Callithrix jacchus: one gene and its partner. The protein of the gene in region 1 purifies or fractionates together with the protein of each later gene. This does not show direct contact. Links are inferred from orthologs where the notes say so. Each region holds a gene or a part of one and is shown in the gene's direction. Other genes may lie near its edges. The genes, in order: SLC37A3 and ATRAID.

The links.
Region 2: the proteins of SLC37A3 (region 1) and ATRAID purify together in Homo sapiens (affinity purification with mass spectrometry; 3 studies listed by BioGRID and IntAct, counting the BioPlex papers as one, with this or other methods). This does not show direct contact. The link is inferred for Callithrix jacchus from reciprocal best matches to the Homo sapiens genes SLC37A3 and ATRAID.

What each region holds. Positions count from the first base shown.
Region 1 is NC_133512.1:107,007,187-107,022,561, forward strand, and holds the end of SLC37A3 (sugar phosphate exchanger 3), read left to right. Parts: intron 1-10,565; coding exon 10,566-10,705; intron 10,706-13,612; coding exon 13,613-13,715; 3' UTR 13,716-15,098; downstream 15,099-15,375. UniProt on the Homo sapiens protein: Unlike the other SLC37 members, lacks glucose-6-phosphate antiporter activity.
Region 2 is NC_133515.1:87,796,103-87,812,100, reverse strand, and holds ATRAID (all-trans retinoic acid-induced differentiation factor), read left to right. Parts: upstream 1-6,623; 5' UTR 6,624-6,667; coding exon 6,668-6,766; intron 6,767-7,448; coding exon 7,449-7,570; intron 7,571-9,141; coding exon 9,142-9,213; intron 9,214-9,294; coding exon 9,295-9,366; intron 9,367-9,452; coding exon 9,453-9,574; intron 9,575-9,869; coding exon 9,870-9,967; intron 9,968-10,186; coding exon 10,187-10,291; 3' UTR 10,292-10,498; downstream 10,499-15,998. Other genes in the region: SLC5A6 (sodium-dependent multivitamin transporter), read right to left, coding at 164-231, 585-636, 970-1,035, 1,342-1,734; multifunctional protein CAD, read left to right, coding at 10,900-10,981, 11,213-11,352, 14,154-14,283, 15,128-15,270, 15,440-15,581, 15,779-15,950. UniProt on the Homo sapiens protein: Promotes osteoblast cell differentiation and terminal mineralization. Plays a role in inducing the cell cycle arrest via inhibiting CCND1 expression in all-trans-retinoic acid (ATRA) signal pathway.

The sequences.
Region 1 (15,375 bases):
ACTGCAACCTCTGCCTCCCAGGTTCAGATGATTCTTGTGCCTCAACCTCCCAAGTAGCTGGGATTACAGGTGTCACCACCATGCCTGGCTAACATTTTTGTATTTTTAGCAGAGACGGGCTTTCACCATGTTGGTCAGGCTGGTCTTGAACTCCTGACCTGAGGTGATCTGCCCGCCTCGGCCTCCCAAAGTGGTGGGATTACAGGCGTGAGCCACAGCACATGGCCATTTAAAAAATTTCTTAAATTAGATTATTTGTTCTTTTATTGTTGAGCTGTAAGAGTTCTTTATGTATTAATGTTTTGGATATAAGTCCCTTTTCAGATGTAGGGTTTGCAAACATTTTCTTCCATTCTGTCGGCCGTCTTTTCACTTTCTTACTGGTGTCATTTGAAATACACAAAAAAATAATATGGAGTCCAATTTATTTTTCCTTTTGTCACTTTTGGGTTTGGTGTCATATAAAAGATATCTTGGCCTAATCCAGGGTTACAAAGATTTATTCCTATGTTTCCTTCTAAGAGTTTCATAATTCTAGCCCTTACTTTTAGGTGTATGATCCATTTGGTGTGGAGTTTTGCATATGGGATGAAGTAGCATGTGAATATGCAATTGTCCCAGGATAATTTGTAGACAAGATTATTTTCACCTCCACTGAAATGTTTTGGCAGCTTTGTTTAATATCAATTGACCATGTATGTAAGGGTTTATTTCTGGACTCTCAATTCTATCAGCTTGATCTGTATGTCTATCTTTATGTCAATACCATTCTGTCTTATCTTAATTACTATAGCTTTAGCTTTGCAGTAAGTTGTTTTTTTTTTCTTTTGGGACAGGGTCTTGCTGCCCAGGCTGGAGTGCAGTGGTGCAGTTTTGGCACATTGAGACTTTTGTGTCCTGGGTTCAAGTGATTTTTTTCTGCCTCTGGCTCCTGAGTAGCTGGAATTATAGGTACCCACCATCATGCCTGCCTAATTTTGAATTTTTGTATTTTTTCAGTAGAGGCGAGACTTCACCATGTTGGCCAGGCTGGTTTTGAACTCGTGACCTCAACTAATTGAGCTACCTTGCCCTCTCAAAGTGCTGGGATTATAGGCATGAGTCAACATACCTAGCCTGTAGTAAGTTTTGAAATCAGCAAGTGTGAGTCCTCTAACTTTGTTCTTTTTTTTGAGACAGAGTTTCACTCTTGTTACCCAGGCTGGAGTGCAATGGCGCGATCTCGGCTCACCGCAACCTCCGCCTCCTGGGTTCAGGCAATTCTCCTGCCTCAGCCTCCTGAGTAGCTGGGATTACAGGCACACACCACCATGCCCAGCTAATCTTTTGTATTTTGAGTAGAGACGGGGTTTCACCATGTTGACCAGGATGGTCTCGATCTCTTGACCTCGTGATCCACCCACCTCAGCCTCCCAAAGTGCTGGGATTACAGGCTTGAGCCGCCACGGCCGGCTAACTTTGTTCTTAATTTTCAAAATTGCTTTGGTGAGTATGAGTCTCTTGCATTTCCATATGAATTTTAGAATTAGCTTGTCAATTTCTACAAAACAAGATAGCTGGGATTTTGATAGGGGTTGTGTTGAGTCTGTAGATCAATTTGAGTAGTACTGTCATCTTAACAAGATTAAATCTTCCAATCCATGAATATGGGATGCCTTTTTATTTATGTCTTTAATTTATTTCAGTGATGTTCTGTAGTTTTTGGTGCACAAGTCTTGTTACTTCTTTTGTTAAATGTATTTTGTATTTTTTTGTTGTTGTTGAGACAGAGTTTCACTGCCATCACCCAGGCTGGAGTGTAAAGGTGTGATCTTGGTTTGCTGCAACCTCTGCCTCCCAGGTTCAAATGATTCTCCTGCCTCAGCCTCACTAGTAGCTGGGATTATAGGTGCCCACCACCACGCTCATCTAATTTTTGTATTTTCAGAAGAGGCGGGGTTTCACCATGTTGCACAGGCTGATCTCAAACTCCTGACCTCAGGTGATCCATCCACCTCGGCCTCCCAAAGTGCTGGGGTTATAGGCATGAGCCACTGTGCCCAGCCATTTTTTTCTTTTAAATTTTAAGTGGAATTATTTTCTTAACTTCATTTTGGATGGTTCAACACTAATATATAGAGATATACAATTGAGCTTTGTATATTGATCTTGTATCCTGCGATCTTGATGAACTTGTTTATTTGTTCTAATAATTATTCTGTGGGTTCCTTAGGATGTTTTCATATATAAGATCATGTCATCTGGGAATAGAGATAGTTGAACTTCTTTTTCAATCTGGGTGCCTTTTATTTCTTTTTCTTTCCCAATTTCCCTGGTTAGAGTCTTCAATGCAGTGTTGTATAGAAGTGGTGACAGCAGACATCCTTGTCTTGCTCATGATTTTAGGAGGAAAGCATCTAGTCTTACACCATTAAGTATGACGTTAGCTGTGAGTGTTTTGTGGATGGCCTCTTGCCTTTTTGTCATCTTACACTATCCTGTTTCTCTTTCTACTCTGAGTAGTGGGAAGAATGTGAACCTCAGAATCAGACTTAGATTTTAATTACTTAGTTCGTTAATTTCACCAGAAAATACTGAGTGTTAGATACAATGAGATAAATTGGATTTATTCATATAGATTAAGTTGTAGTGTGGTAAGAGCTGTGATGGGGGTATGGCCAAGGCAGTGAAGGGTACAGAAAACAGGTCCCTGGGAAGATTTGAACACCTTGAGGGTGTGATGCTTGAATTGCTCCTAAAAAAAAGTAGAAGACAGTCTTTTTTTTTTTTGAGACAGGGTCTCTCTCTTGTTGCCTAGGCTGGAGTGCAATGGTGTGATCTCTGCTCACTGCAACCTCTGCCTCCCGGGTTCAAACAATTCTCTTGCCTCAGCTTCCCGAGTACCTGGGATTACGGGCATGTGCCACCACACCCAGCTAATTTTATATTTTTAGTAGAGACAAGGTTTCTCCATGTTAGTCAGGCTAGTCTCGAACTCCCGACCTCAGGTCATCTGCCCACCTCAGCCTCCGAAAGTGCTGGGACTAGAGGCATGAGCCACCATGCCTGGCAGGAGATAGTCTTGAAAAAGAGGGATCATGTGCAGAGATGGGAAGGTAGGTGTATTTTGCGAGCCACAGATAGTTCTGTGAGGGCACAGTATGGGATGCCTACAAGTGAGTGGCTTGAGGTGATCCCAGAGAGTGAGCAGAGCCACCTCACCAAGGCCCTTGCTAGCTTCTGAAGGTGTTGTGAGAACTGGATTTGTGTGTTGGAACCCTTGGTGGTAGAGGAGATGGAATGGTAATGAGTAAGACCAGGAACAGAGAGCCTTGGAGATAGGAAGCTATTGGCTAAGAAGGGAACAACTGAGGACCTAAAGTAAGGCTCTAAAGTAGGGCTGGAAGAAGGGAATTGAGTCAAGAAGGATTAGGAGGTAGGTGTGTTGCAAATGACTGAGAGGTGGGGGACATGATTTGTGGAGAATGACTCTTGGATTTCCGATATGGAGTTTGGGCTGTTGGATGAAGTAGGAGACGGAGATTTAGTTTTCTCATCTATAAAATGGAAAAAATACTTTGCAGGTAACATAGGCACATCCCTTAGCACAAGCATATGGTTGTGAGTCAGTCCATACTGGTTCTTTCTGCTTTCTCACTTTGTTTGTTTCCTCCATTCTCTCAGTGCAGGTCTTTGTTTGGTTAGTTCCATCTTTGGGATGCTTTTCTTTGCTGTGTCCCATGCTTCCCACTATAACTGCCACGTGGGTGATTCCCAGATCCCTCTCTCCAGCCCTGATCACGCTTGGATGCATTTTCGACTGTGTTCTGGCCATCTCCACGGCCTCTCACCGTCATGAGCGAGAACCGCTCCCAAATCTCTTTTTCCTCTTGAGGTCCATATGCCTGTTAATGGCACTGTCATCTTCTCAGTCAATTTGGCTACAAATCATTTTCTCTAGTTGAGAAAACACATCCACCTCTAGTGGTTTTGAGTGTTTCAGAGTCGTTTTGATGTCTTTCTCTTCCTCTTTCATTTCTTCACATTTGGTGAATATTTGACCTGTTTAATCACCTCCGTAACATTGTATACACCAGTTTCTTTTTCTCATTGTTACTTCTCTCGTCAGGTCTTTCCTAGTTCCCATCCGAACTATGACACTGGTTCCCTATCTCTGGTTTCCCTTCCTTTCAAGCCATCTTGCCACAACTGCCAGACCGAGCTTCTGGAAGCTCTGATTGGATCACCCCTGTCGCCTTGTGGGTTCTCCACACCCACTGGATCAAGCCCAAGCTCCTAAGCCTGTCATTTAAGGCACTGCATGTCTAAACCCCATGTACCACTCTGATTTTATCTCCCCACATTCTTGCAGAAAGATGGGGCAGTTCTCTGTACCTTCAGTATCATGTCTGTGTCTTCCCCGGAGGAGACTGTGCTTATTCTCTAAGGCACAGTCGCGAATCTGGCCTAACTTTCACCAAACCAGGTAATTCTTTCTCATATTACATAGGACTCAGTCCTTTTTTTTTAATTTTGTTGACACAGAGTCTTGCTCTATTGCCCAGGCTGGAGTGCAATGGCATGATCTCGGCTCACTGCAACTCTGCCTCCCAGGTTCAAGCAATTCTCCTGCCTCAGCCTCCACAGTAGCGGGGACTGCAGGCACACGCCACCATGCCTGGCTAATTTTTGTATTTTTAGTAGAGACAGGGTTTCACTGTGTTGGCCAGGCTAGTCTTGAACTCCTGACCTCAAGTGTTCTTCCTGCCTCGGCCTCCCAAAGGGCAGGGATTACAGGTGAGCCACCTTGTCTGGCCAGTGCTTATTTAAAATGATCTGTGTAGACATCCTATCTCTCCTACCACATTTAACCTCCTTGAGGTGCCTCCATTTCTGTAACCATCACAATGCCTTCTTCATAGTCAGTATATGTTTGTGGATGGAACGTATTACACTCTTCATCTTCCTAAGGCATAGAGGCATGACCTTTGCTTTTCCAAATGCCCATTCCCAAGGGTCTGTGACACAAGACAATGAGAAGGTGGAGGACATCTGACTTTCCCCTGTGGAGCCTCTTGCAGTTTAATACACAGCAGCGTGAGGATGTTACACAGGCAGGTTCTTATTTAAATTCCTGGTAACTGAGCCCAGCAGCACGTGGTGGGTTTGATTTAGTCTGTACAGCACTTAACTCTTTCTATGGATGAAAGTGGATGAAAGTTCATGGACTGAATGGGAACTAGATAGATTGAGAAATTAACTCATGTTTTGTGCAGTTATACAGAGCTCTAGGCACCAGTCTGATTTTTCCTTATAGAATCTAGAACTTTTTTTTTTTTTTGAGATGGAGTTTTGTTCTTTTGCCCAGTCTGGAGTGAAGTCGTGCGATCTCAGCTCACTGCAACCTCCACTCCCCGGGTTTAAGCAATTCTCCTGCCTCAGCCTCCCAAGTAGCTGAGATTATAGGTGCCTGCCATCACACCCAGCTAATTTTGTATTTTTAGTAGAGACAGGGTTTCACCATGTTGGCCAGGCTGGTCTCAAACTCCTGACCTCAGGTGATCCACCTGCCTCGGCCTCCCAAAGTGCTGAGATTACAGGTGTGAGCCACTGCGCCTGGCCAGAATCTAGAACTTAACTGACATACTTCTTGGGTACTTTCAGACATGTAGCCAAACACGAAGTCAGGTGATTTATTTGGTAAATTCCATAAGCTCTGTCCTGCCCTGGAATGGCTTCTCAGCTAGGCTGGGAAGGAGGTGGCTCTCGGTTCCGGTTTCCAATCAGTGACTTCCAAGAACTGGTTAAGAAGCAGGAAGAATAGAAAGAGTTAGATGTTTCTATGTTGGGCTAAAAAAACCCACTCAGATACCCGGTTTCTACAATGCATGTGTCCTGGCAGCCAGACAAGGAAGGAGAGAAACTGTGAAGGGTGCCAGGGTGCCAACAAGAGCACCCGCATTCTTGGCAGAGCTCAGAATAGCGTTCACAGCTCTCAGTGATTCATCATCTGCAGGCCTGCCCACCCATGATCCGAGTGACTGAGGATGGGGTGAGTCAGGCGGCTCCCTCTCCCCATCACCCTTCTTCTCTGGCTCACTTCTGTGTCCTCCTTGGGCCCTATGGGCTGCCGAGCAGAGGGGAGGCTGATGTGGTGGTGGGCACTGCCAGTGAGGAAAGGGTTCCTGCTCTGGGTCTGTGCCAGGGTGAAGCCTTCGTGGTTTCTTGAAGGACTTCCGGCTCCCCTCTGCATTCAGCCCTAGGCACATTTGGAGAAGAGGGGACTCTTCACTGCTAGCTCTAGGGACCCATCTGAAGGTGGGGCCTGCTTAGCCCCTGGGAGCTACTCAGTGCTTCTTTGTTGATGTAGATGCCACCCCTCATCATCATATCTGCCCCTCTTAAATCTAATCTGCATTCTCTTCTCTTTCTTCCCACTCTTTTCTGTTTATTCTTTTCTTTCTTCCCTTGCTCAGCAAGAGTGATATTTATTTAAGACATCATGGCTGTTAAATGTTTGCCTCTGGAGATAATTTTTCAGCCAGGTGCCCCTCTGCCTGTTGGCTGGTCCACAGTGATGGCTGGCCATGATGGGAGGGGATGGCCTGCTACCCTCAACACTGAACTCCCTAACGTGGGTCCAGGCCCAGGGCTCATCACAGCTACCCGCTTTGACCTGCAACAGAATCATGAGTTGAAAAACCATCCTAGTGCCATAATAGGCTCAAACAGGGATCACTCTTCATCTGGTCAACCAGAGCCAGGCCACAGGCTGCATGGCTTCTCTCAGTGAGGCTCTCATTCTCTGATCAGTGCGTGGCTCTTGCTGGGTGTCCCACTTTACTTCTATAGCAAAAAAGCCATTTTACCTCTGTTGCCACTTTCACAAAACATTCTCTTGTATCCACTCAAGTGAAAGCTGTGAAGTGTCCTCGTTCCTCCCTCACAGAGAGAGCTCCTAGCCTTGCAGCCCTGCGTGTGTCTGTCACTTACCAGCAGCATGCCAGGACACTGCAGACATCCAGGTTCGGAGACTCGTCTAGGAAGCCATGCCCTGTGTGGGTGAGGACAGGAGAGTGCTGCCTCCAAGTGTTCCTGTTTTCCCTTCCCCGTGGCCGCCAGGCACAGATGCTGCGGGGAGAATGCAGCTTTAGCAACAAAACATCCAAATATACTTATTTCCAAAAAGAGCAATGCAAGATGAAGAACAGAGCGCTGTGTGGATGATGTCCTGTGTGAGGACAGAACACAGGAGGAGGTTGAGTGGAAATAAGGTTTCACTTCTTGTCCAGGAGTCAAAACTTAGTAAACACGACCAGGTCTCCAGATCACAGTGAATTCCAAATCCCAGTGGACGACCCACTTATTTCAAACATGTTTGTAACATTATAAAGCACAAGGGATGGGTGAAATGCACAACCCTGGGACAATTTGGGGCACTTAGATGTGAAATGTTTGGAAATTGCTTTCATTTTTCTCATCAGAGCCATCCCGCGGAATGGGTAGTAAAGAGACTTAGCCCCATTGAGAGGCGAGGACACTGAGGCACAGTGAGATGGACATTCGCATCGATTCCAAAGAGCACAGACTTGGTTAGCACAACTGGGCTTAGCCCCTTGATCTGTGTGTGATTTCTGTCACACTGCCCTTTTTTCACTAAACCTCTTTCACGTGAGAGATGAAAACAACACATCACCAATAGGACCCGTGCTCTGGGCTGTTGAATTAAAGTCGGAATGAAGTTTACTGAATTTACATGCCCTCCCCTAGCACTCTGTATATCCCATTTGGAATTTGTGCAAGTCCTAGGAGCAGGCTCCCTCTCTGCAATTGCTCAGGACTGAACTCCGCTGGTGCTACCCACACCTTCCCAGACCCATTCCTGCCAGCATCTGCTGCACTTCCCCTTGACCATGTCACTTCCCATCAGACTGTCTCTTCTTCTCACATCTCCCTGACTATGGGTTGGGAAAAGGGAATGCTAGGCCCTGGGTTCCCTGAATGTCCTGCCCTTCATGCCACATAGTATGGAGTGCCTACCACATGTTAGGTTCTTTGCTAGACCTGAAGATACAAAGAGAAGGCACAGCTGGGACCACACCACCCTGGATGTGCCTGGCTTCAGAAGCCAGGCGGAGTTGGGCCTGATTAGTACTTGGATGGGAAGAGGCATAGGTCCTGCCCCTGAGGACCTGGAGTTTAGTGCTGGAAACAAATTAGATTCCATCACCCTCATTCAGCACCCCCTCTTCTCTTCTCTTCTAAGTCCTGAACTGTGATTCTTTTTTTTTTTTTTTTTTTTTGAGATGGAGTTTCACTCTTGTTGCCCAGGCTGGAGTGCAATGGTGCAATCTTGGCACTGCAACCTCTGCCTCCCAGGTTCAAGCAATTCTCCTGCCTCAGCCTTCCGAGTAGCTGGGATTACAGGCATGCACCCCCATGTCCAGCTAATTTTTATATTTTTAGTAGAGACAGGGTTTTTCTATGTTGATCAGGCTGGTCTCGAACTCCTGACCTCAGGTGATTCGTCTCAGCCTCCCAAAGCGCTGGGATTACAGGCGTGAGCCACCATGCCTGGCCCCTGAACTGTGATTCAGTTCAGTAAACCTCTTTGATGTAAGAGGTTTACGTGAAAACCTCTCATTGTCTCTTCCATCTGCCATCTTCTGGGAAGCACTCCCTCGTCCAGCGAGTTGAGCACTGGCTGATAGATACATTCCCACCCTCTTCACTGCCATCTCTGCATCAAGGAATTGCTCAGCCATGTTCAGTTCTTAGTGAAGGTGCCTCCCTTTGCAGGGCAGTGATGCTTACTGGACTTTAATCATAAGAGGCTGTGCCTCCTCCAACCTTCCTGCTCAAAATCCCTCAAAATCTCCATCTCTCATCCTCCAGTCACTCTGAGGCTACCTTCTCCCCATGGCTGGCCATTTCAAAGATGTGCCTTATGTTAATAATAATGTATTGTATATTTTAGAAATGCTAAGAGAATACATCAGGTGCGGTGGCTCACACCTGTCATCTCAGCACTTTGGGAGGCCGAGGTGGGTGGATCACTTGAGGTCAGGAGTTCAAGACCAGTCTGACCAACATGGTGAAATCCTGTCTGTACTAAAAATACAAAAATTGGCTGGGTGTGGTGGCGGGCACCTGTAATCCCAGCTACTTGGGAGGCTGAGGCAGGAGAATCACTTGACCCCAGGAGGTGGAGGTTGTAGTGAGCCCATATACCATTGCACTCCAGCCTGCGCGACAGAGGAAGACTGTCTCCAAAACAGTATTGGAGGTGATGGAAATGTTAATGGGATTGATGTAATCATTCCACAACATGTATATATCTCTCAGAACATTACATTATACCCATAAATAACTGTCAGTTTAAAGAAGGATATTTTGGGGGGAATTTTAATAAACAAAAACCCCACAAGAATGTGCCTTGTCTGATGGAGACTCCCTTTCCTGTATTTTCTTACACTGCTCCCAGGCCTGCTTGGCCATCGCTGCCCATGCTGCATGCCTTTTCCACTCTCCCTTTAGCGTGTGAGGCAGGGCAACCAGGTCACATGTGGGGCTGCTCTGGGCCTGTGCGCTCCAGCCTCAGCTAGGCCCTGTGACATTCAGCAGCCACTGAATTCTTCCTCTGTGACATGCCACTGTTGAGCCGTCAGAGTCGCTCCTGGTCCTCTCTTTCAAAGCAGATGACTTCCTTTACTATCTTTTTGGGCGAGTGTGGAGCCATCTTCCTTCCTCACCCTAGAGACTCTGCTCTTTTCTCTCTCTCACCCTCCCCTCACTTCTGTCTGCATCATCCTCACCTTGCCGGGCCTCTGCACTCTGTTCCCTCAGTCCCTTCTGCTCAGTGATCCCTCTGCATCCTCTCCCCTCTTCAGTCCCTCCAGAGTTTCTCTCTGTTTTCCAGGCTGGAGTGCAATGGCACCATCTCAGCTCACTGCAACCTCTACCTCCCAGGTTCAAGCAATTCCTCTGCCTCAGCCTCCCGAGTAACTGGGATTACAGGCATGTGCCACCTTGTCAGGCTAATTTTTGTATTTTTTGTAGAGATAGGGTTTCGCCATGTTGGCCAGGCTGGTCTCGAACTCCTGACCTCAATTGATTTACCTGCCTTGGCTACCTAAAGTGTTGGGATTACAGGCATGAGCCACTTCACCTGGCCCCTGCCATTTATTTCTGCTGCCTCAAGCTCCTCTAATCTAAAAGACAAAAGCCACACATCCAAAGGAAACCCCAAACCTTCCCCCTCACTCCAGCCCTCTCCCTTCATCATTGTGGCCACCACTATAGCCTCATTTGGACCCTCCCTTTGTGGCCTTCAGCTTCTGGCTGTCATCCATCCTGGCCCCTCCACTAGCCTTCCAGGGGGTCCCTGTCTCCTCTCAGATGCTCATCATTCTCAGGAACAGCTTTGAGAACGTCACTTGTTCTGCTCAAAATGAAGTGGGAAGTCCTCAATTTGGCTTGGTCTCCTCATCCCAGTCCCCTCCTCTCCTTCCAGCTGCTTCTCTAATTGAACTCTGCTCCTGTCAAACTGGCTCTGTCCTTACATATACCCTATGTTCTTCCCCCAGACCTCTGCCCGGGCAGGGAGTATCCTTGCCTTCTCATCTGAACTTCAGTGCGCAGCTCACGTGCCAGTGCCTTCACGAATCCTTCAGCGATCCCCACAGCCAGGTGCGATGCATGCCATCTCCTCTCCAAATTTCTCCAGGTATGCTTTTGGAAGCCCCTGAAAGCATGTGGCTGTATTACTACTGTCAGGTCTATTTCTAGCTTTAATCTCCTCAAGGATTGGAAATATGTGTTTTTAATTTTATCTACCTCCCCGGCCCCACTCCACTGTCTAGCATATAGCTGTGCATTACCGCTGGTCCGTGAGTCTGAAGGGGCTTAGTGGAGATGGTGCTGGCTGTCACCACTGGGCACAAAGGCCCAGACTGCTGGCCCACAGCTCACAGAGCCACTCCTGGTATGTTTTGTCTAGCCACTCTAGAGGTTTTGGGTTTTGTTTTTTCAGTAGTAAGATATATACAACATTTAGTTTTCGTTGTTGTTCGGTTTTTTTGAGATGGAGTCTCGCTTTATCACCCAGGCTGGAGTGCAGTGGCATGATCTCAGCTCACTGCAACCCCCACCTCCTGGGTTCAAGTGATTCTCCTGCCTCAGCCTCCTGAGTAGCTGGGATTACAGGTGCATAACACTACACCACCTAATTTTTGTGTTTTTAGTAAAGACGGGGTTTTGCCATGTTGGCCAGGCTGGCCCCAAACTCCTGACCCCAAGTGATCCTCCCTCCTCGGCCTCCCCAAGTGCTGGGATTACAGGCGTGAGACACTGGGCCTGGCTGTTAGATATATATAACATTTTAACCATTATTAAGTATACAACGCAGTGGCATTAGTTATATTTCAAATGTTGTGCAAACATCACCGCTGTCTATTTCCAAAACATTTTCATCACCCCAAGAAGAAACTGTGCCATTAAGCAAGAACTCCTAGGCAACTCCACCCTCTCCCTGCCCCACCCCGTGCTAATCTCTTATCTAATTTCTATCTGTATGAATTTGCCTATTCTAGGTATTTCCATAAGTACAATCATATAAGTACAATCCATAAGTACGGTCCTTTTGTGGCTGGCTTATTTTGCTTAGCATAAGATTTTTCAAGGTTCGCCCATGTTGTAGCATGTGTTGGAACTAATTTTTTTTCGAATTGCTGAGTATTGTATTGCATGGATATATCACATATTATTTATAAGTTATTCTAGACACTTGGATTGTTTCCACTTTGGGTTGTAGTGAACATTGGCCTACAAATATTTCTTTGAGTCCCTGTTTTCGATTTTCTGGGGAATATACCCAGAAGTGGAATTGCTGTATTGTATGGTAATTTTATGTTTAGCTCTTCGAGCAACCCACTGTAGAGTTTTAAAAATTCAAATTAATTAACCACTTTCAAAAATGAGGAATTTCACACAAAAATTAGATTTTTTTCAATTTCTTTTTTTTTGAGGTGGAGTCTTTCTCTGTAGCCCAGGCTGGAGTGCAGTGCAGTGGCAGTGGCATGATCTCAGCTAACTGCAATCGCTGCCTCCCGGGTTTAAGTGATTCTACTGCTTCAGCCTCCTGAGTAGCTGGGACTACAGGTGCCTACTGCCACACCTGGCTAATTTTTGTATCTTTTGTAGAGACAGGGTTTCACCATGTTGGCCAGGTTGGTCTGGAACTCCTGACCTCAGGTGATCAGCCCACCTCAGCCTCCTAAAGTGCTGGGATTATTGTCATGAGCCACTGTACCTGGCTGAGATTTTTTTTCAACTTCTCTTGACACTCCTGGGTTCACCTACAATGATATGATCTGCTGGGGATGAGTGGGAACTGCCGCCTCTAGATGGGGCATCTGGTATCCAGCTCGACAAGGGCCTTACCCAGCCGGCATCAGACATTGGTTCCTGCCTGGGCCCCGCTCCGAGCCTTTGCCTCAATCTCCTTCTTTCATGAGGTCTTCCAGTCCCTTCACACAATCACTCCTTCCCTATTATGTTCATACGCGCTCATTATTTGTTTACATCCCAGACCTCTCTCCATCTCGACTGTGATAGTCTGAGGGCAGGGCACTTGTCTTTTCATCTCTGATTTACCCAGGATCAACAGACGCGTTGTTGGTGCTCAAAGTCTTTGTCAAATTGAAGTTTTAAATTGGATAGCTGAAAGCCAGGCATCATGGTTCATGACTGCAATCCTAGAGACTCAGGAGACTGAGGCAGGAGGATCTCTGGAGGCCAGGAATTCAAGGCTACAGTGAGCTAAGTTTGCACCACTGCACTCCAGCCTGTGTGACTGAGTGAGACTTCAACTCTAAATACATAGATAAATAGATAGATAGATAGATAAATAGGTAGATAGGAATGGGATAGAATAGAATACTGAAGGTTAGGGCAGGACTAATTGGTACAGATACCATTGACTGAATCAAGCAAGTACTAAATTGCATTGTAAAATATAAGAAAAGGGGAAAAAACTAAAATTGGGGAAATGAGTTATAGATTACAGGCAATGAAAGAAGGGCTAACCACTTCCTCATATGGAATATTTCTTCATTTAGGGTTTTTCTTTTAATCACTCTTGGTGTAGTCTCATCAAAGACGTGTAAAAAGTGATTTGTCGAATTGTGCGTTATGTGCCTGTAGTGCCAGCTGCTCTGAAGTTTGAGGCCAGAGGATAACTTGAGCCCAGGAATTTGAGTCCAGCCTGGGCAACATAGTGTGACCCCTGTCTCTAAATAAACAAATTAATTTTAAAAAGGTAGTTTATGGAAAACAGGTACAATATCATAGAACAAATTAAAAAAATAGGATCAAAATGTAATATCTATATACAAATGCAAAAGAATGAGTTTGGATCCCTACCTTACACCATATATTAAAAATTACTCAGAGTGGATCATACATCTAAATGTAAGAGCTAAAACTAAAAATCCCTTTGAAGAAAATGTAAGACTAAATCTTTGTGATAGTGAGTCAGGCAGTGGTTTTTTGGATCCCCACCAAAAGCACAAGCAACAAAAGAAAAAACAGATAAACTAGACTTCATTTAATTGAAGACTTTTGTGTTTCACAGGGCACCAGCAAGAAAGAAAAAAACAGCTCATAGATGGGAGAAAATATTTGCAAATCACATATCCAATCAGGGACTCCTGTCTAGACTATTTAAAGATCTTTAACAACTCAACAACGACAAAAAAGACATGACCCAGTTGAAAAACAGGCAAAGGATCTGAAGACACATTTTTCCAAAGAAGGTTTAGAAATGGTCAGTCAGCACATGAAAAAGCTCAACATCGTTAGTCATTAGGGAAATGCAAACAAAAACCACAATGAGGTGTCACTTTACCCCCACCAGGATGGCTATAATAAAAGAGGTGGAGGATAAGAAGTGCAGTGAATGTATGGAGAAATTGGAGTCCTCACACATTGCTGGTAGGATAGTAAAGTGGTATAACCACTGTGGAAAACAGGTTGATGGCTCCCGAAAAAGTTAAACATGGCTGGGCATGGGAGTTTACACCTGCAATCCCAGTACTTTGGGTGGTGGAGGTTGCAGTGAGCTGAGCTTGCTCCACTGCACTCAGTGGAGCAACAGAGTGAGACTGGGCAACAGTCAGTCTGGGCAACAGTCAGTCTGGGCAACAGAGTGAGACTCGGTCTCAAAAAAAAAAAAAAAAGTTAAACATAGAGTTACCAGGTATGGCATGGTGGCTCACACCTGTAGTCCCAGTAGTCCCAGTACTTTGGGAGGCCAAGGTGGGCAGATTGCTTGAGTCCAGGCATTTGAGACTAAGCCTGAGCAACATGGCAAAATCCTGTCTCTACAAAAAAATACAAAAGTTAGCCAGGCACGTTAGTGTACACCTATGATCCCAGCTACATGGGAGGCTGAGGCAGGAGGATCATTTGAGCCCAGGAGGTCAGGGCTACAGTGAGCCCTGTTCATACCACTGCACTCCAGCCTGGACAACAAAGTAAGACCCTGTCTCAACAAAACAAAAACCCAAGACATAGAGTTATCATATGTTCAAAACACTTCTACTCTTAGGCATATATGCAAGAGAAATGAAAACGTATGTCCACACGAACACTAATACGTGAGTGTTCATTGTAGGATTATTCCTAATAGCCAAATGGCCGAAACAACCCAAATGTCCATGAACTGATAAGTGGATAAATAATATGTGGCATATCCATGCACTAAAATATTACTTAGTTATGAAAAGGATTAAAGTGCTGATACGTACTACAGCCTACACCCACCTTGCAACATTTTGCCAAGTGCGAAAAAAGCCAGTTATAAACGACTACATATTGTATGATTCCTTTTGTATGAAATGTTCTAAATAAGCAAATCTATTGAGACAGAAAGCAGATTCGTGGTTGTCTGAGGCTGGGGTGTGGGGGAGGAGGGAAATAAGGAGTGACTGATGATGGATACAGGGTTTCTTTTGGGGGTGATGAAAATGTTCTAAAATTAGATTGTGGTGATTCTTGCACAACTGTGTGAATATGTTTAAAACCACTAAATAAAAAATTGTAAAAAAGAGAAAACAAAACAAGCAGATAAAAATCACTGAACTGTAAAAGAACAGAAAGAGGACCAGAGAGAAAATGCTACTCATTCCTTTTACATAAATAATAAAATACACAATCCTCAGAGGTGACTGAAAAATGCGCCTGAAGTCATTTACACTAAAGCTTTACAGATGACCTGGCATGGTGTGTTGTTTGCTTTAAAATGCTCCACATACCACCCCGTGCAAAGTGACCTTGGCTGGGGGCGAGATGAAATACAATAGGCAAAACTCTTCATAAAAGCTGGCGATGGGCACA
Region 2 (15,998 bases), on another chromosome or scaffold:
CACTGCTAAATCCTATTATAAATCTTACCTCATCCCACCCTAGAATTTCACCTATATTCTCCTCACCTATATTCTCAGCTTATCTCTTCTCTTCCTTCTCTTCCCATCTCCCCTCTTTACTTCATCCCTTCTCCTCCCCCTCACCAGGACTTACTGCACTTACCAGAGAAGTATAGATGGTACAGACAATGCCTAGGGTCAGCACTGACAGCCACAGATCAAAGCCAGTCACTGTAAGCACACAAGCCACATGAGCTTAGAAGCCCTGGTAGGGCAATCATGTCATGCCACAGAGATAAAGCACTTGGTGATTAACAATGGAATTAATCATTCACCACAATGGGAAAAAAAAGTTTGCAGAGCTCCACCAAAAGGTATTGCTTAACCAGTTCAGATGAGGCCTGGTAACAGGTCACTAGCTTTCAAGTGAGGTGGACTAAGCCTCCCTCTGGTAGAGACCCATCCAAGGGCCTAAGCAGTAAATTAATTCCCTGTCCAAGGTCAGGTTCTTTTCCACACACTCTTCTCCATCTGCCCCTCCCAAAGGTGCCTTCCAAGCCTCCCATGGCTGTGTGACTCCTCACCTGCATTAAGAGCCAGGGACGGAGCATAGAGCACAACCCCCATGTAGATTACCTGTTGGTTGTGGAAAAAATGTGAGGGGGGCGAGGGGGAGGGTGGGAAGAGAGAGGAAGAAAGATGGGCCTCAACGCCAATATGCCCATGGCTTTCTCTCACCTAGGCTCCCTTCCCTCTTCTTCCTCCTTCCAAATTCTGGCTTGCTGCCACTATAGTATCTGTGCTGGAATTAGAAGGAATAGGCCTCCGGGGGCTTTACAGATGCTGACCTCTAGCAGGAATTTCAATCCTGCCAGTCTGAGACAAGGGGAGACTCGAATTCCCTCAGCACACTTGAGTTCAGGTCCCCCAACATGCCCCAGGCTTGGTTTCCATGCTCATTCTACTTACCATCTGAAAGATGAAGGTCATAGTTCCACATACTCGCACAGTTTTACTGAATCGAAGCTCCAGGTACTGGGTATGTAGAAAAAAGGTTTTCCTCCTGACTTCACCCCCACAACTCACACAAAACTTCCCTCAAGATGCTCAGGAGCACGAGGGAATATCCAACCCATGCCCTCTCTGAGTCCTACTTGGCATGCACCCTCTACAACCTTGCTCCCACTCCTGAAATCGAAGAACTAAAAATACATAATGAATTTTCTGTCATTTCATTAGGTAGAGAAGGTCCAGAGTCCCAGGTCCTTCAGATGTGTCTGTCCATCCTCTCCACCCCAACCCCAGTGGTCCCATGTGCTTCTCCCTTCCGTCCCTGCTCACCTCATATGCACTGGTGAGGTGCAGGCGGTAGAAAATGGGGATGAAGATGTGTGCAGGTATCAGCAGCCCCAGGAAGTAGCAGCAGCCCAGGAACCAATACTGGGTTCCAAATCGGTAGATCTCAGACGGCACACCCAGGATGGCCACGGCTGACTGGAAGGTGGCCAGCAGGGACAGTGCCACTGGAAGGCAGCCCATTTTGCGGTTCGCCATCAGCAGCTCGCCGACAGTATGCCGGCCCCAGCCACGAAAAGCATGGTAGAGCCCAATGGCAAGAGAGAGAACCAGCAGCAGGATGAACACTACATAGTCCACAAGGGAGAAGGTGGACGTACCCATGCTTGTGTCTGAGGTTGGGGAAAGAGGGGCTGAGGTGCTCACCCCTACACTCATATCCTCACTGTATCTGTGGTCTGCAGCCAGCTGATGCTCCAGGGCTCTGGGCTAGGGCAGGGGCGGATGGGTGGCTACAACCTGGCTCCCAGCCAAGGTCTCACAGTCTTCCTCCACGGAATGACACTGTCCAGGGTGAGCTGCAAAGGAATTAGCTCTTAGTGAGGCCTATCTTGGTAGCCATTCACCCTTGGGCCTTGTATATCCCACGCCCACCAGAAGTGGACCAGCCAGCATAGTGGTAGCCCTTCAGGGTATGGAGGCCCTGATACGGGTTTGGTAGGAGCGGTAAGTGAGGGGGAAGCAGCAGACTGAGACAGCCAAGAGACAATAGAACTTGGCCAGGACCTTTGGGTATGCAAGAGCTGTGAAATTCAAGGAACTTCTTAGGTCTCCATCCAAGAAGCAAAAGAAAAATAAACTCTAGGCTAAGTTTCTTTGAAGAATTTCCTGGCCCCACTTGAAGGCACAGACCCAGTCACTACAATACACTAAGCCAGCAGAGCCAGCCTGGCGCCACAGCCCAGCAGGAAAGACAACATGGAGACTAATGGCAGCAGGGCTTTTCCTATTGCCCCTGGCCTCAGCCCTTGCCACCCATGATCTCCAGTGTCACCCTCCTAACTGATCATCAGTAAGACTGCCTCTGTGGCAGCCCCAGGCCAACCACTAGGTTTTCCCCAACATCACTAAATAAGCGCTGCCACCCACCTCTCAACCCCTCTACTTGCCACACCATAGCCAACAGCAGACGCAGGAAAAGTGGTTGGATTCAAAAATGAGAAGGGAAAGGTGAGAGGGCACCACGTTAGAGTCAGGGTTTCAGAGTTATGATTCTCCATTCTGGAGAGAAGCAACCCAGCCAAGGAGCTGAGAGGCAAAGGCACCAGCCAGTGAGAGTGGTCACATCCTGCTGGGGGCAGATACCTACCTGGAGAAGCAATCCTTGTCCTGAGGCACAGTTGCCTGGAGTTGCAGAGCTGAAGATCTGGCTCTATGAGAGGCTGTGGTGAGATCAGGAATTGGGGGTGGGGTGGCACTCAGCAGTCATTTGTTCAGGTAACCAATTGCTGTGCTCCAAATGACCCTGTCACCCTATGGCCCCCAAACTCCAACTCAGCCCTAGAGGCTCCAGAAGAGGTAAAAGGGAGCTCACATTCAACAGCATTCCTAGATGGATTAGGCTTTCAGCCTAAAGTACTCTTGGCACTCTGTGCAGGAGGGAGTTGGAAAGCAGGAACTGAATAGACAGGAAAGTTGAAAGTTGATTTTTTAACTCCTACACAAGATATGTTAATCCTCCAAGAATATACCACAATCCTCAGAGAAAGAAGGAAGGGATCATAATATTTAAAATCTTAAATCTTTGGATACCACTATTATAACAAACCCCCCACCACTGACCATTTCACAGATAAACACACTAAGGTTCAGATGGTTCAAGTGACCTTTCCAAAACCACAGAGCCTACTATTGTCAGAGGGTAAATTAGAACCCAGGTCTAGGGATTCACCATCCACCCTGTCTGTTCTCCATGCATATCCTATTGTCTTCAGAGGCAATCCTCTGGCGTATTTACTGGTATGGGGAAAAAACAGAGAATGCCATGTAGTCAGACAGCCTAACATGACGACAGTTAACACTCCTTGAACACCTGCTATGTAACCCAGCAGTGTGTGAGGTGCTTTATAAACATTTGCAATAATAAATAACGCAGTAATAACTTTGAAAACACCATGTCTCAGGTTGAGACATGAATACCCTCCAGACAAGAAAACGGACAGATTAAATAACTTGCTCAAGGTTACGCAGCATGATACAAAACAAGAGAGAAAGAAGCAGTACTGTCTGCAGCTATGACAGGTGCTCACCAAGGGCCCTGTTCTCACTACTTCCAGAACCAGGGGAGGAGCGGAGTGAGGTAATCAGTCATTCACAGGACATAGTTTAGATTTCAACCAACCAAGAGTCAGATTAAACGTGTCTTCTGCTTTTGCCCACTAGGAGAAAGATTAGGCTGACTTCTGGCTCTCCCACAGTGTGTTCTTGGGCAGACACTGGCTGGCTAGCAAGCTATGGCCTCATGGAGACTAAACCTGAACTCTGAACTTCTTGGGGCCAAAAAAGAGAGGAAATCAGAGCTGGCAACTCTTGGATCACATGTTCTACAAGGTTCCCAACAGGCTGTTTTTTGTTTTTTGTTTTTTTTTGCGATGGAGTTTTGCTCTTGTTGCCCAAACTGGAGTGTAAAAGCAATGGTGCAGATCTTGGTTCACTGCAACCTCCGCTTCCCGGGTTCAAGAGATTCTCCTGCCTCAGCCTCCCAAGTAGGTGGGATTATAGACATGTGCCACCACACCCAGCTAATTTTTTTTTTAGTATAAACAGGGTTTCACCATGTGAGCCAGGCTGGTCTCTTGACCTCAGGTGATCCACCCCTCTCAACCTCCCAAAGTGTTGGGATTACAGGCAAGAACTACCATGTCCAGCTTGGGCTTAAACTCTGGTTTATCCAAAAGATGTCCTGGGGCTTTGCACATTGCGACACCCTGAGTTTTCCCATTTGTCCTTGGCAAGTTTTTACTGCTATGATAGAGATGATGGGAACTACTGGGGAGTAAGAGGAAAGATGATGTCTGCTGTGTGCAAAGAACATACAACACTACAGGGTTGATGGTATAGATAGGCAGGTGGTCAGAGATAGGAAACTCCCAATGTGGGACACAGACCTTCAAGATACTCTGCTGATAGGACTTCCTGATAAAACTCTATTTGCATGATGTGTGGAGAATTCTCCCGGATGCCACAAGAGAGAGCCAAGGAAGACAGAAAAAACCTGACTCAGTAACAGACTAGATTCTGAGAACAGATCTGTGGTTTTCTAAAAACCCTATATTGATCCAAACCCTTACATGTCTCCAGGAAGGGAGGGCCAAAAGGAAGACCTATCTCTTGTTTCACCAGAACTATAACACACTAAGGCACAAACAGCAGATTGTGGGACCCCTTTTAAAAACTCTAGGCCGGGCGCGGTGGCTCAAGCCTGTAAGCCCAGCACTTTGGGAGGCCGAGACCGGTGGATCACGAGGTCAAGAAATCGAGACCATCCTGGTCAACATGGTGAAACCCCGTCTCTACTAAAAATACAAAAAATTCGCTGGGCATGGTGGCACATGCCTGTAATCCCAGCTACTTAGGAGGCTGAGGCAGGAGAATTGCCTGAACCCAGGAGGCGGAGGTTGTGGTGAGCCAAGATCGCGCCATTGCACTCCAGCCTGGGTAACAAGAGCGAAACTCTGTCTCAAAAAAAAAAAACAACAAACAAACAAAAAAAACCTCTAACTCATTTTGTTCACACACTGCAGTAGATGGAATTGTCTCTTACAAAAAAAGGCAAAGGGTCTCACTGTCCTCTGCAGGACTGTTCCAAAAAGATCCCCTCAAAATCTGTCCTGGGGCTATAATTCCTCAAGGTGTGAAAGGCTTTGGGGGCCCTCCTTAAAATGCTAATAGCAGCCTGGCTAGGTGGTTCACACCTGTAATCCCAGCACTTTGGGAGGCTGAGGCAGGCGGATCATGAGGTCAGGAGATGGAGACCATCCTGGCCAACATGGTGAAACCCCATCTCTAATAAAACACAAAAAATTAGCTGGTGTGGTGGCATGCGCCCATAGTCCCAGCTACTCTGGAGGCTAAGGCAGGGGAATTGCTTGAACCCGGGAGGTGGAGGTTGCAGTGAGCCAAGATTGCACCACTCTGTCTCAAATAAAAAAAAAAAATGCTAATAGCTACTAACACCTTAGAAAATTTGCCAACCAGCTAAACGTAAATCTTTCAGGAATGTCCAGGCAGACACCGGAGGGTAATGTGGAAGGGAAGCCTGGGTCGGCAACTAGAGATGATCGCTTGGGTCGGCTTTAAGGAGCTTTGTGGTTGGCTTGAACCAAGACAGTCACTCCGGGAGCAGGGCTTCCCCCTGGCACCCTTCCGCACTCCCTTACCTCCGTGGTTCAGCCAGGGCTAGGAAGGTCCGCCTGTGCTTCCAGAAATCAACATCGCTCCCTTTGCCTGAGAAGGCAAAGAAAATGAGTTAGGGAAGCGTCTATCCCGTTCCTACCTCCTCGCCAGGCTCCAGGACGCTGCGCGCTATCACGACTGAGGTGAAGGTGACTAGGTGCCCAGGGCGTTCCAGGCTCGTGTCCTCCCGCTAGAGTTTGCGGTTTGCCCTTTCCTGCTCCATCACCCTCACCCTCGTTCTTTCCTGGCTTCCAGATTCCCTCCACGCGGCGACCACGACCACGTTACTACCGCTCGCATTTCAGATCTTCTCAGCCCGGGGCTGGCTCGCTCCGCCCCTCCCCGCCCCCTGCCCCCGCCCCCCGCCCCCGCCCCCGCCCCCGCTCTTACGCCGCTCCCCGGGGCCTCTCGGTGCTGACTCACGCTCTCCAAGCCCACCTGCCTGTTCTCCACACGTGGGTAGCCAGAGCCCGTCCGCGGCGCGCAGACCAGGAGACCGTGGGGGGCCCCGCCCTCGCCCTCCGCCCGCCTTCCGCCAGCCCAGCTCGCCGTGCCGCCATGTTTACTGAGGGCGGATGGACGGGCCCGAGTCTCCGTGGAGACGCGACCTCGACATCCAGGCGCGGGGAACGCTGGGCTGAAGAAGCCTGCAGTAGGCTCTAGGAAGCGGCGCGGCGACGGCGGAGGCCTTCACTAAAGGGGAAAAGGAAGAGGTGGTCGGCCAGTGTCCCCGAAAGAAGGCTGGGGCTCCTAAAGACCAAAGCTGAGCTCCCCGAGCAGGAGCAGCCCCCACCCAGCCCCAGGGCTACTAAACCCGGCCGTTTAGGCCACGCCCGGCGAAGGGGGCCTGACGCGCCGTGGGGCGGGGCTGCGGGGGTCGGGTCGCGCTAGCGGTGGAGAACCAAGGGAGCGGAAAATGGCGCCTCGCGGCCGGGGTACTCTTACGATCCTGGTGCGCTGGGCTGCCACCCTGCTCCTTGCTCTGGGCGTGGAAAGGGCTCTGGCTCTACCCGAGGTACAGAAGCAAGTTTGAAGTCCGGCTGAAGCAGGGTCGATGGCCAGCGCTTCGCGCTCGCCCGCGGCTCCCCCTTCCCCTCTGCCGGCCTGCGGCTCTGATTTCGTCCCTGACGCTTCCCGACCCTGCCCAGCCAGGTCCTATTCCCGAGTGCTCACGTCGTGCAGGCCTTCGACGCCCCCGTCCTGCCGACTTTCAAAGACCTGTGAAACTTGATCTCTTTCCTTAATTTTAGAATAAGCTCTTTCTACAGACGGGTCCTCTGGCTCTTTGTGTAAGCTCTACGTACGAATGCCGTGTATCGTGCGGTGGTAGGGCTGCACTTTATTTTGTAATGCTTGATGAGTTCTTACATACCGCGGTCCTTTTACACCGGGACAAACTGAGGCTGTCAGATTGAGAAGTCTCTGCAGAGGGCATAATAAATATGTTCGAATAGTAATCTTCAGAAATGAGGACCTTCCCCTGGGCGATGTCTGTTACTGAAAAGTCTCTGGGGAGCTGATTGGGCACCGGACTCTAGAGGAAGAAATGGCATCTCCTAGTCTAGCCTGTTATGAGGGTAGGACACGAGCCATTTATCGGCCCCATGTTAGAGGAATTCTGGAAAGGTGTGCTGGCAGTTAATTCTTGATCCCCGTGTGTTCTTTCCGGAGTTCTAATGTTTCTTTCTCTTCTGCAGATATGCACCCAATGTCCAGGGAGTGTGCAAAATTTGTCAAAAGTGGCCCTTTATTGTAAAACTACAGGAGAGCTAATGCTACATGCCCGTTGCTGCCTGAATCAGAATGGCACCATCTTGGGGTGAGGGAGAAGACATCCCTGGATATTGGATACAGGCCATTCCTTAGGCTGGCTGCTTTTCTACCCTTATATTATTTTGAGAATCCACCTGTTATGGTTTCAGCTGTAACCATCACGCAGGTGTCTACCAAAACTAGATCTCTTTAGAGTCTTTTTGCCTTTCCACACCCCAGGTACATATGGGTACCTCTTGCTCTTCCTGTTAAACATTTCCTACTAAGTGCATCCTAACTTCAAACTAAAAATGTTGTGTTTTGCTTCCATTCTCTTCTTCCTTAATCTACCTAAATACTTCTCTATATTAAGCTTTCAGAAAACCAACATTTTCCATTATCGCTCTCTTGCTTTAATACTATATTTAGGTAACTGTTTGTTGCTCTCAGGATAAAATTCAAACCACGAGCTACCATAGACTAGTCCCAACCCACTTTTCCAACATTATTTCCAATTACGTGTCCACTCAAACCTCCATAAGAGGTCTGGCACCAGATTTGCCTACCCTCAAAGGCATTCTACCTTTGTTCAGGCCTCTCTCCATACCTGAAATTGCCTTCCTCCACCAAATTAGGACATATCCATCCTTCAATTCCAACATCTTTTCTGAATATTTTCTACTATTAAATTCCAGAGTAATACTTTTTTTTGAAACTTCCTGTAATCTTTAGTGTATATTTTATACACTGTCCTGTGGTTTCTTTCATATTGTAATTTAATATATACAGTGTTTTTATTTTGGGCAGTGGTCTTGTTTCTCTAACCACATTGCAAACCACTCAAGTCTAAGATACTGTGTTATATATTTTTAACATTCTCCCAGCGTTTGCAGTTAGTAGGCACTCAGTAAATATTTGTAGAATAAAGGAATTGACAGCAGTAGATAGTGAAGAAAAAATGTGGCATGATCCTTAATATCCAGCAGTTTACAACCAATCTGTGGTAGAAAATACATGCGGAAAACATTTTATTTATGTGACTTGTGTTTTTTTTTAAAGGCCCTCTGTGGATCTGAAAATCATAATATGAGATTCACTAATATAGACAAGAAACACAGTTCTCCCAATAGATGCATAACCTATTAGAACATTGCTGGCCAATAGAACTTTCTGTGATTATGCAAATATTCCATATCTGTACTAACCAGTACAGTAGCCACTAACGTGGTTATTCCATTTGCACTTGAAATATGGCTAGTGCAAATGAGACAGTGAATTTTTAGGTTAATTTTTCTCTGTAGAGTCAGGGTCTCACTATATTGCCCAGGCTGGTCTCGAATTCCTAGGCTCAAGTGATCCTCCTGCAGTGGCCTCCCAAAGTACTGGAATTAAGGAGTGAGCCACTACATCCAGCCTAAGATTATATTAATTTAAATTTAAGTAGCTACATGTGGCAAGTGGCGACTCTATTGGATAATGTAGGATTAAAATGTCTACCACAGCACCTAGTATGTGAGTCGGAACACAGCTGTGTTCAATTACTATTAGCTGAAAAGGGGGTTGTGTAGTCAAATACAAACTGCTGTGGATGAAGAAAAAGGGGAACACACAGTTATGTTGATTACTTTGTGTCTTCAGGCTGGATCTCCAGAACTGTTCTCTGGAGGACCCTGGTCCAGACTTTCATCAGGCACATACCACTATCATCATGTAAGTAGTTAGACACCTCCCACCCAAAAGGCTAATATAGTGTAGGTTGATGGGAAAGTGCTGACAGTGTGTGCTTTGCAGAGATCTGCAAGCAAACCCTCTCAAAGGTGACTTGGCCAACACCTTCCGTGGCTTTACTCAGCTCCAGACTCTGTGAGTAAGGGTATGGGAAGAGAATCAAAGAGGGGCAATGCTGTGAGTTTAGCAACTTTGCATGTTATGACCACGTTTGTCTTTAGGATACTGCCACAAGATGTCAACTGTCCTGGAGGAATTAATGCCTGGAATACTGTCACCTCTTATATAGACAACCAGATCTGTCAAGGCCAAAAGAACCTTTGCAATAACACTGGGAACCCAGGTATGCTCTCTTACCTCCAAGCTTCTGGGAATTGTCTTTTCTTCCTTGTATTTTCCACTTTAGATCAGGAAGACAAAGTTGCTTAAATGCCTTTCATTCAGAGTTCTGGGGCTCTAACCCCTTTGAAAGAAAAGATCTTAAGGCATATGCTATTACTGTTACTGTTTTTATCTGTAATCTTTCCGCTTCCTTTATCCTAGAAATGATTGAGAGAATCTAAGTTGAAACAGATAATTGAGAAATATGCCTAATGAGATGGATGCAGTGATGTTCTCTATTTCTCTCTGGTCCCCAGAAATGTGTCCTGAGAATGGATCTTGTGTACCTAATGGTCCAGGTTTTTTGCAGTGTGTTTGTGCTGATGGTTTCCACGGATATAAGTGTATGCGCCAGGTGAGGAATAAGGCCTTCTAACTAGGGATACAAGGAATGCATAGAGCAACACCTCTCAGAAAGGAGAGTCACAGACCAGGAGCTAATACAAATTACCTCTAGGGAGAAAACTATAGAATTGTCCTAGACGAGATGATATACCTTGGGAATGAACTAGGTGTTAGGATGTCGCCCTCTGTGTAACGTTGTATGGGATATGTTTTGGTCTGTTATTCACAGGGCTCGTTCTCACTGCTTATGTTCTTCGGGATTCTGGGATCCACCACTCTATCCATCTCCATTCTGCTTTGGGGGACCCAACGCCGAAAAGCGAAGACTTCATGAACCACATAGGTCTTACATTGACCTAAGATCAATCTGATCTATCTTAGCCCATCCACGGAGCTCTGCTTCCTAGACAGGCATCTTTGGTCAGTGGATTTGCCTCAAGATTGAGGCCGCCATTGGAAGTTGAAAAATTGCACTCCCCTGGTATAGACAAGTACCAGTTCCCATTTGTGTTGTTGCCTATAATAAACACTTTTCTTTTTCTTTTTTTTCTTTCTGTCTTTCTTTTTAAGTAAAGGGGTCCTGCCTTTAGTTGTTTCTAGCTTTGGGTGGGAAAGACTACTTTAAGGCAGCCGATTTTTTTTCAGGTTTCCTCCTGGTTTTGCAGTGCGGATACCACGAGGGGTCACTCCCCTTGGCTCCTGGAGCCCCGCCCCTTACGTGCCCAGCCCCGCCCCTGACGCCACCGGTGTCCGCGCCGCCGCCGTCTCTGCCGCCTCCAAGCGCGCTAGAGGCTCTTGCGCCTGCCGCGCCCGCCTTCTCTCCAGCGCCCCGCGCCGTTAGCCACGTGGACCGATTCCGGCGCGCCATCCTCACGTGGTTCCAGTGGAGTTTGCATCCTTCCCGCTTCTCCGTACTCGCCCCCGCCTCTGAGCTCCCTTCCCATGGCGGCCCTAGTGTTGGAGGATGGGTCGGTCCTGCGGGGCCAGCCCTTTGGGGCCGCCGTGTCGACTGCCGGGGAAGTGGGTAAGCAAGTCCGGGTAGGCTGCAGACCTTATCCCACTCTGATGCGCCTCTCCGCCTCACCTTCCCTGTCCAGACCCCGCCATTTTCCCGCCAGCACACCCCGTCCCCCCCCAATTCGGTGCCCATGGGCCTCAGCGTGTCCACCTCTCGCGACCAAGGCAGCCTCCACTGGGGCGTGCTCATCGCGCTGGGAGTGCTCTGCCGGAGCCCAGCCCTGCTTCTTTCTTGCAGTGTTTCAAACCGGCATGGTCGGCTACCCCGAGGCCCTCACTGATCCCTCCTACAAAGCACAGATCTTAGTGCTCACCTATCCTCTGATCGGCAACTATGGCATCCCCCCAGATGAAATGGATGAGTTCGGTCTCTGCAAGGTAGCCACACCCAGTGCTTTCCTTTTCAAATCAGCGGTTGTTAACTGTTAGTGAAGTAGGAGACGTTGACACCCTGCTGGGCATCCTTCAGAAAACATACCCACTGAAGTAGTAAGTCAGGCACTAAGACTACTTACTACTAACTAGTTAGGCAGGGGTTGCTAAGTACCGTGGGAGGCACAGAGTGTTGAAGGCCTCAGGAGAAAGCTACAGCCTTTGTTAAGCATTCTGTATGGCATGGTTCAAGGAAAGTAAAAGAGGTAATTGTTAGGAATGCAGAAGTCATGAGAAAAAAGCCTGCAGATAAATAAGATACAGTGGGCATGGAGGGACTTGAGCCAAAGCAGAGTCAGTTTAATTTGGTAAGGGATCCATTGAAGGTTGGTTTTTTTTTGTTTGTTTGTTTTTTTAAAGTAACAATCATGTGATGGGAGCAGTGCTTTTTAGGACTACATAAATTAGTGGAAAGAGACTGGAAACTAGGGTCACACATTTCGCAGTGACAGTGAGTGCCAGTTTACCTACAAAACCAGTATCATTGATTATCATCTTCTAGACCTACTGACATTGCCCCGTCTGATTTTTTTTGCTTTTCAGTTGTGTTCTTACCTCTAGGTGAGAAAACTGAATTTCTTCCTACAGTGAGGTTTCCCCTCTTCCTTCACCTCTGAAATTTGGAAACTAAGTTGCCCTCTGACAGTTCAAGCATTTAGAAACCAACATATAGTAATTAAGGTAACAGAGAAAGTCATTCTGGCCTAGAGTAGCATTTCACAAATGTGTTTGGCCTCATTGCACACATCTAAGCCTTTAATTCTTAATTTGCCTTCCCAGTCACCCTGACACTGGGGAGAGAGCGCTCTGGATAGAAGATATACATACTGTTCGTCCTGGAAAGGAATTTATAGGTTAATCACAAACCTATAAATACACTGCATTCTAGTTGATAGTACCATTTCTTGTGAATTTGATTAACCTGTATCAGTCATCACTTTTGTCAGCTCTAGGCACACTGACAAAATTGAGTTTATAAAACTACAAATTTGAGTCCCTAATAGGGCCAAGGTGGGCAAGACCTCCTGGAGCCACTTGTGCATATAAATGGATTACTCCACCTGGCCGGGGAGGGTTCTGCCAAACTATCCTTCAGACTCCTGGACGGTCTCAGAATGCAGGTTCCTTAAACTCTTCACTGAGCTGAATGCAGTTTAAATATCCCTCCCACATAAACTTTCTGTTTCTGTGTAGCTATTAAATGCTTAGCTGTTGAGTAACAAGGTTATGTTACCTTTTTATTTTTGGAGAGGGGGCAAGGTCTCACTTTGTCATCGAGGCTGGAGTGCAGTGACATGATCATGGCTCACTGCAGCTTCCACCACCTGAGCTCAAGAAGTCCTCCCAACTCAGCCCCCCAAGGGGCTGGTACTACAGGCACATGCTACTATGTCTGGCTAATTTTTTTGTATTTTTTGTAGAGATTGGGTTTTGCCATATTGTCCAGGCTGGTATATTATCTTTTTAAAATAATAATCTCAAACGAAGTTTGGGGGTCATGCTTAGTATTGTGCCCTGAACCTTTGTTTCTTTACTTAGTAATGTATTTATTTCAGTTTTTAACCACACTCTATAATATCTTTCTTACATGAGTGTTACCTTGTTTTCTGGCTCCCTAAGTCAGAAATAAACATCATGAAGACAGGGACCTCATCTTTTCTTGCTCATTGCTCTTTTCTCAGCATCTTTTGCAATGCCTGCACCTCAATAAATGTCTGACTGACACCATTTGTCTTGCTCTTGAGTTCTCTGTTTCGTGACAAAGACACAAATACATATTCATGATACAGTGTAAATAGCAAGAGAGGAAATGAAGTGTTAGGAGAGCTCTAAGATGGAGGCACAAGCTGCATTGGGTGAGTGGGAGAGGCTTCACAGAGAAGGGATTTGTTATTTCAGTTTTAGATAAAGGAAGAAACAGGCGGAACACGGTTGCTCATGACTTGTAATCCCAGCACTTTGGGAGGTTAAGGTGGGAGGATCACTTGAGCCCAGGAGTTGGAGAGCAGCCTGGCAACATGGTGAGACCCTGTCACTACAAAAAATTTTAAAAAGTAGCCAGGTGGGATGGTCCACACCTATAGTCCCAACTACTCAGGAGGCTGAGATGGGAGCATCACTTGAGCCCAAGAGTTTGAGGCTGTAGTGAACTGTATGTTCGTGCTGCTGTACTCTGCACTCCAGCCTGGGCAGCCAGACCCTGTCTCCAAAAAAAAAAAAAATGGCCGGGCGCGGGGGCTCATGCCTATAATCCCAGCACTTTGGGAGGCTGTGGTGGACAGATCATGAAGTCAGAAGATCGAGACCATCCTGGCTACCATGCTGAAACCCGGTCTCTACTAAAAATACAAGAAGCCAGGCATGGTGACACATGCTGATAGTCCTAGCTACTCAGGAGGCTAAGGCAGGAGAATCGCTGGAACCCGGGAAGTAGAGGTTGCAGTGAGCTGAGATCGTGCCACTGTACTCCAGCCTGGGTGACAGAGTGAGACTCTCAAATAAAGTAATTACTTAAAGGAAAATGTCATTTTCAGTGATGAACTGGGCACCCTAAGCCTGTGGGTTGTTTTTTATATAGGGGAGAGCATTGTCAGTAAAGGGAAATATCTATGCAAAAGCACCAAATGCTTGGTATATTGAAGACCATTCAGTGTGGTTGAATATAGGGTTAATGGCCACACAATGGGGATAATACTCTAAAGAAATAATTTGGCCTGAAGCTCCTCTCAATCTCTTTCCATCCACAGTGGTTTGAATCCTCGGGCATCCACGTGGCAGGACTGGTGGTGGGAGAATGCTGTCCTACTCCCAGCCACTGGAATGCCACCCGCACCCTACATGAGTGGCTGCAACAGCATGGCATCCCTGGCTTGCAAGGTATGATGGCAAGCACAGGCATATTTGGGCAGAGCATGGCATGCCTGGATGGAAAGAAGGTTTCTGTAAGTCTGCTGGGACCTGACTCTGAGATTGTGATAGTTGAAAGGTTTAGATTGGAGTTAGACTGGGGGAAAGAATTGAGCTATCACTTGGAAAATTTCCAACACAGAAAGGAACTCCCTTCTTCCATAATCATCAGCTCGGGACTAATCTTATTTCATCACCACCACTAGATTATTTTGAAGCAAATCTCAGACATCATATCGTTTTTTCTACGAATAGTTTAATATCTGTGGAAAAAGAATCTTTTTAAAAAATATCACAATAACATACACTAAAAAAATTAATAATTTCTTAATATAAGTGTCCAGGCAATGTTTACAATTTCCTGTAATTTTTTTTTTTGTTTTTTTTTTTTTACTGTTTGTTTGAAACTCATTCTAAACAGGGTTCATGCATTGCATTTGGTTGATATGTCTCTTAAATTTAATCTGTGGACCTTGTAACCTGTCTGAAAATGGGTCATTTTTCCTGTGTCTAGTATCCCATAGTCTGCACTTACTTGGTTTCGTTCCTCTAGGGTTACTTAGTGTATTCGTTTTTCCCTTGATATTATTTTCTATAAATGGATAGATTTAGAGTTGTGGTTCAATTCAGATTTGATATTTTTGGCAGTAATACTTCATGGTAGTGTAGTCCTATCACAATGGCCTAGGATTTTGGTGCACATAGAACAACTGTGTGTGACTAGGGCTCTGGAATGGAAGTGCTTCTGGAAGTCTAACCTCACAGGTGACTGAGTTGGGGGAATGTGATCCCTAAGACTGTGCTATTTTGACAGGAGTAGATACTCGGGAGCTGACCAAGAAGTTGCGGGAACAAGGATCTCTGCTGGGGAAGCTGGTCCAGAATGGAACAGAACCTTCATCCCTGCCATTCTTGGATCCCAATGCCCGCCCCCTGGTTCCAGAGGTCTCCATTAAGGTACAGAGGTAGAGTGAGAGAGTTGCAAGCTGTAGCACAGTAGTTATATTCTGCCCACATTTGGTGGGGAGGGTGAACACATGAGAGAATCAAAGGAGTTGCTGCAGGCATATCTTATACCCACTGAGCACAGCTGTCAACGGTTGCCCTTTATTCCTCTATTTCTCAGACTCCACGGATATTCAATACAGGGGGTGCCCCTCGGATCCTTGCTTTAGACTGTGGCCTCAAGTATAATCAGATCCGATGCCTCTGCCAGCGTGGGGCTGAGGTCACTGTGGTACCCTGGGACCATGCTCTAGACAGCCAAGGTGAGTAGCTGGGGCCTGTTCAGGGCCTCAGACAAACAGCTTGGGTGGAAGATATGTCCCTTGGTCCAATTGCTTAAAGTCAGGATGAGTTGCAGTGAAGAAGATAGACATTGAGACTTACATTAACGCTGGGGCTGCAGGTGTGTCTCCTCTAGTTGAAATACTGATTTTGATGTCATCTTTTCTGCCCACTCCAGAGTATGAGGGTCTCTTCTTAAGTAATGGCCCTGGTGACCCTGCCTCCTATCCCAGTGTTGTATCCACGCTGAGCCATGTTTTATCCGAGCCTAATCCCCGACCTGTCTTTGGGATCTGCCTGGGACACCAGCTATTGGCCTTAGCCATTGGGGCCAAGACTTACAAGATGAGGTGGGACTTGTTGGGAGCAGAAGGGGCCCACACTTGTGGCATGATGGG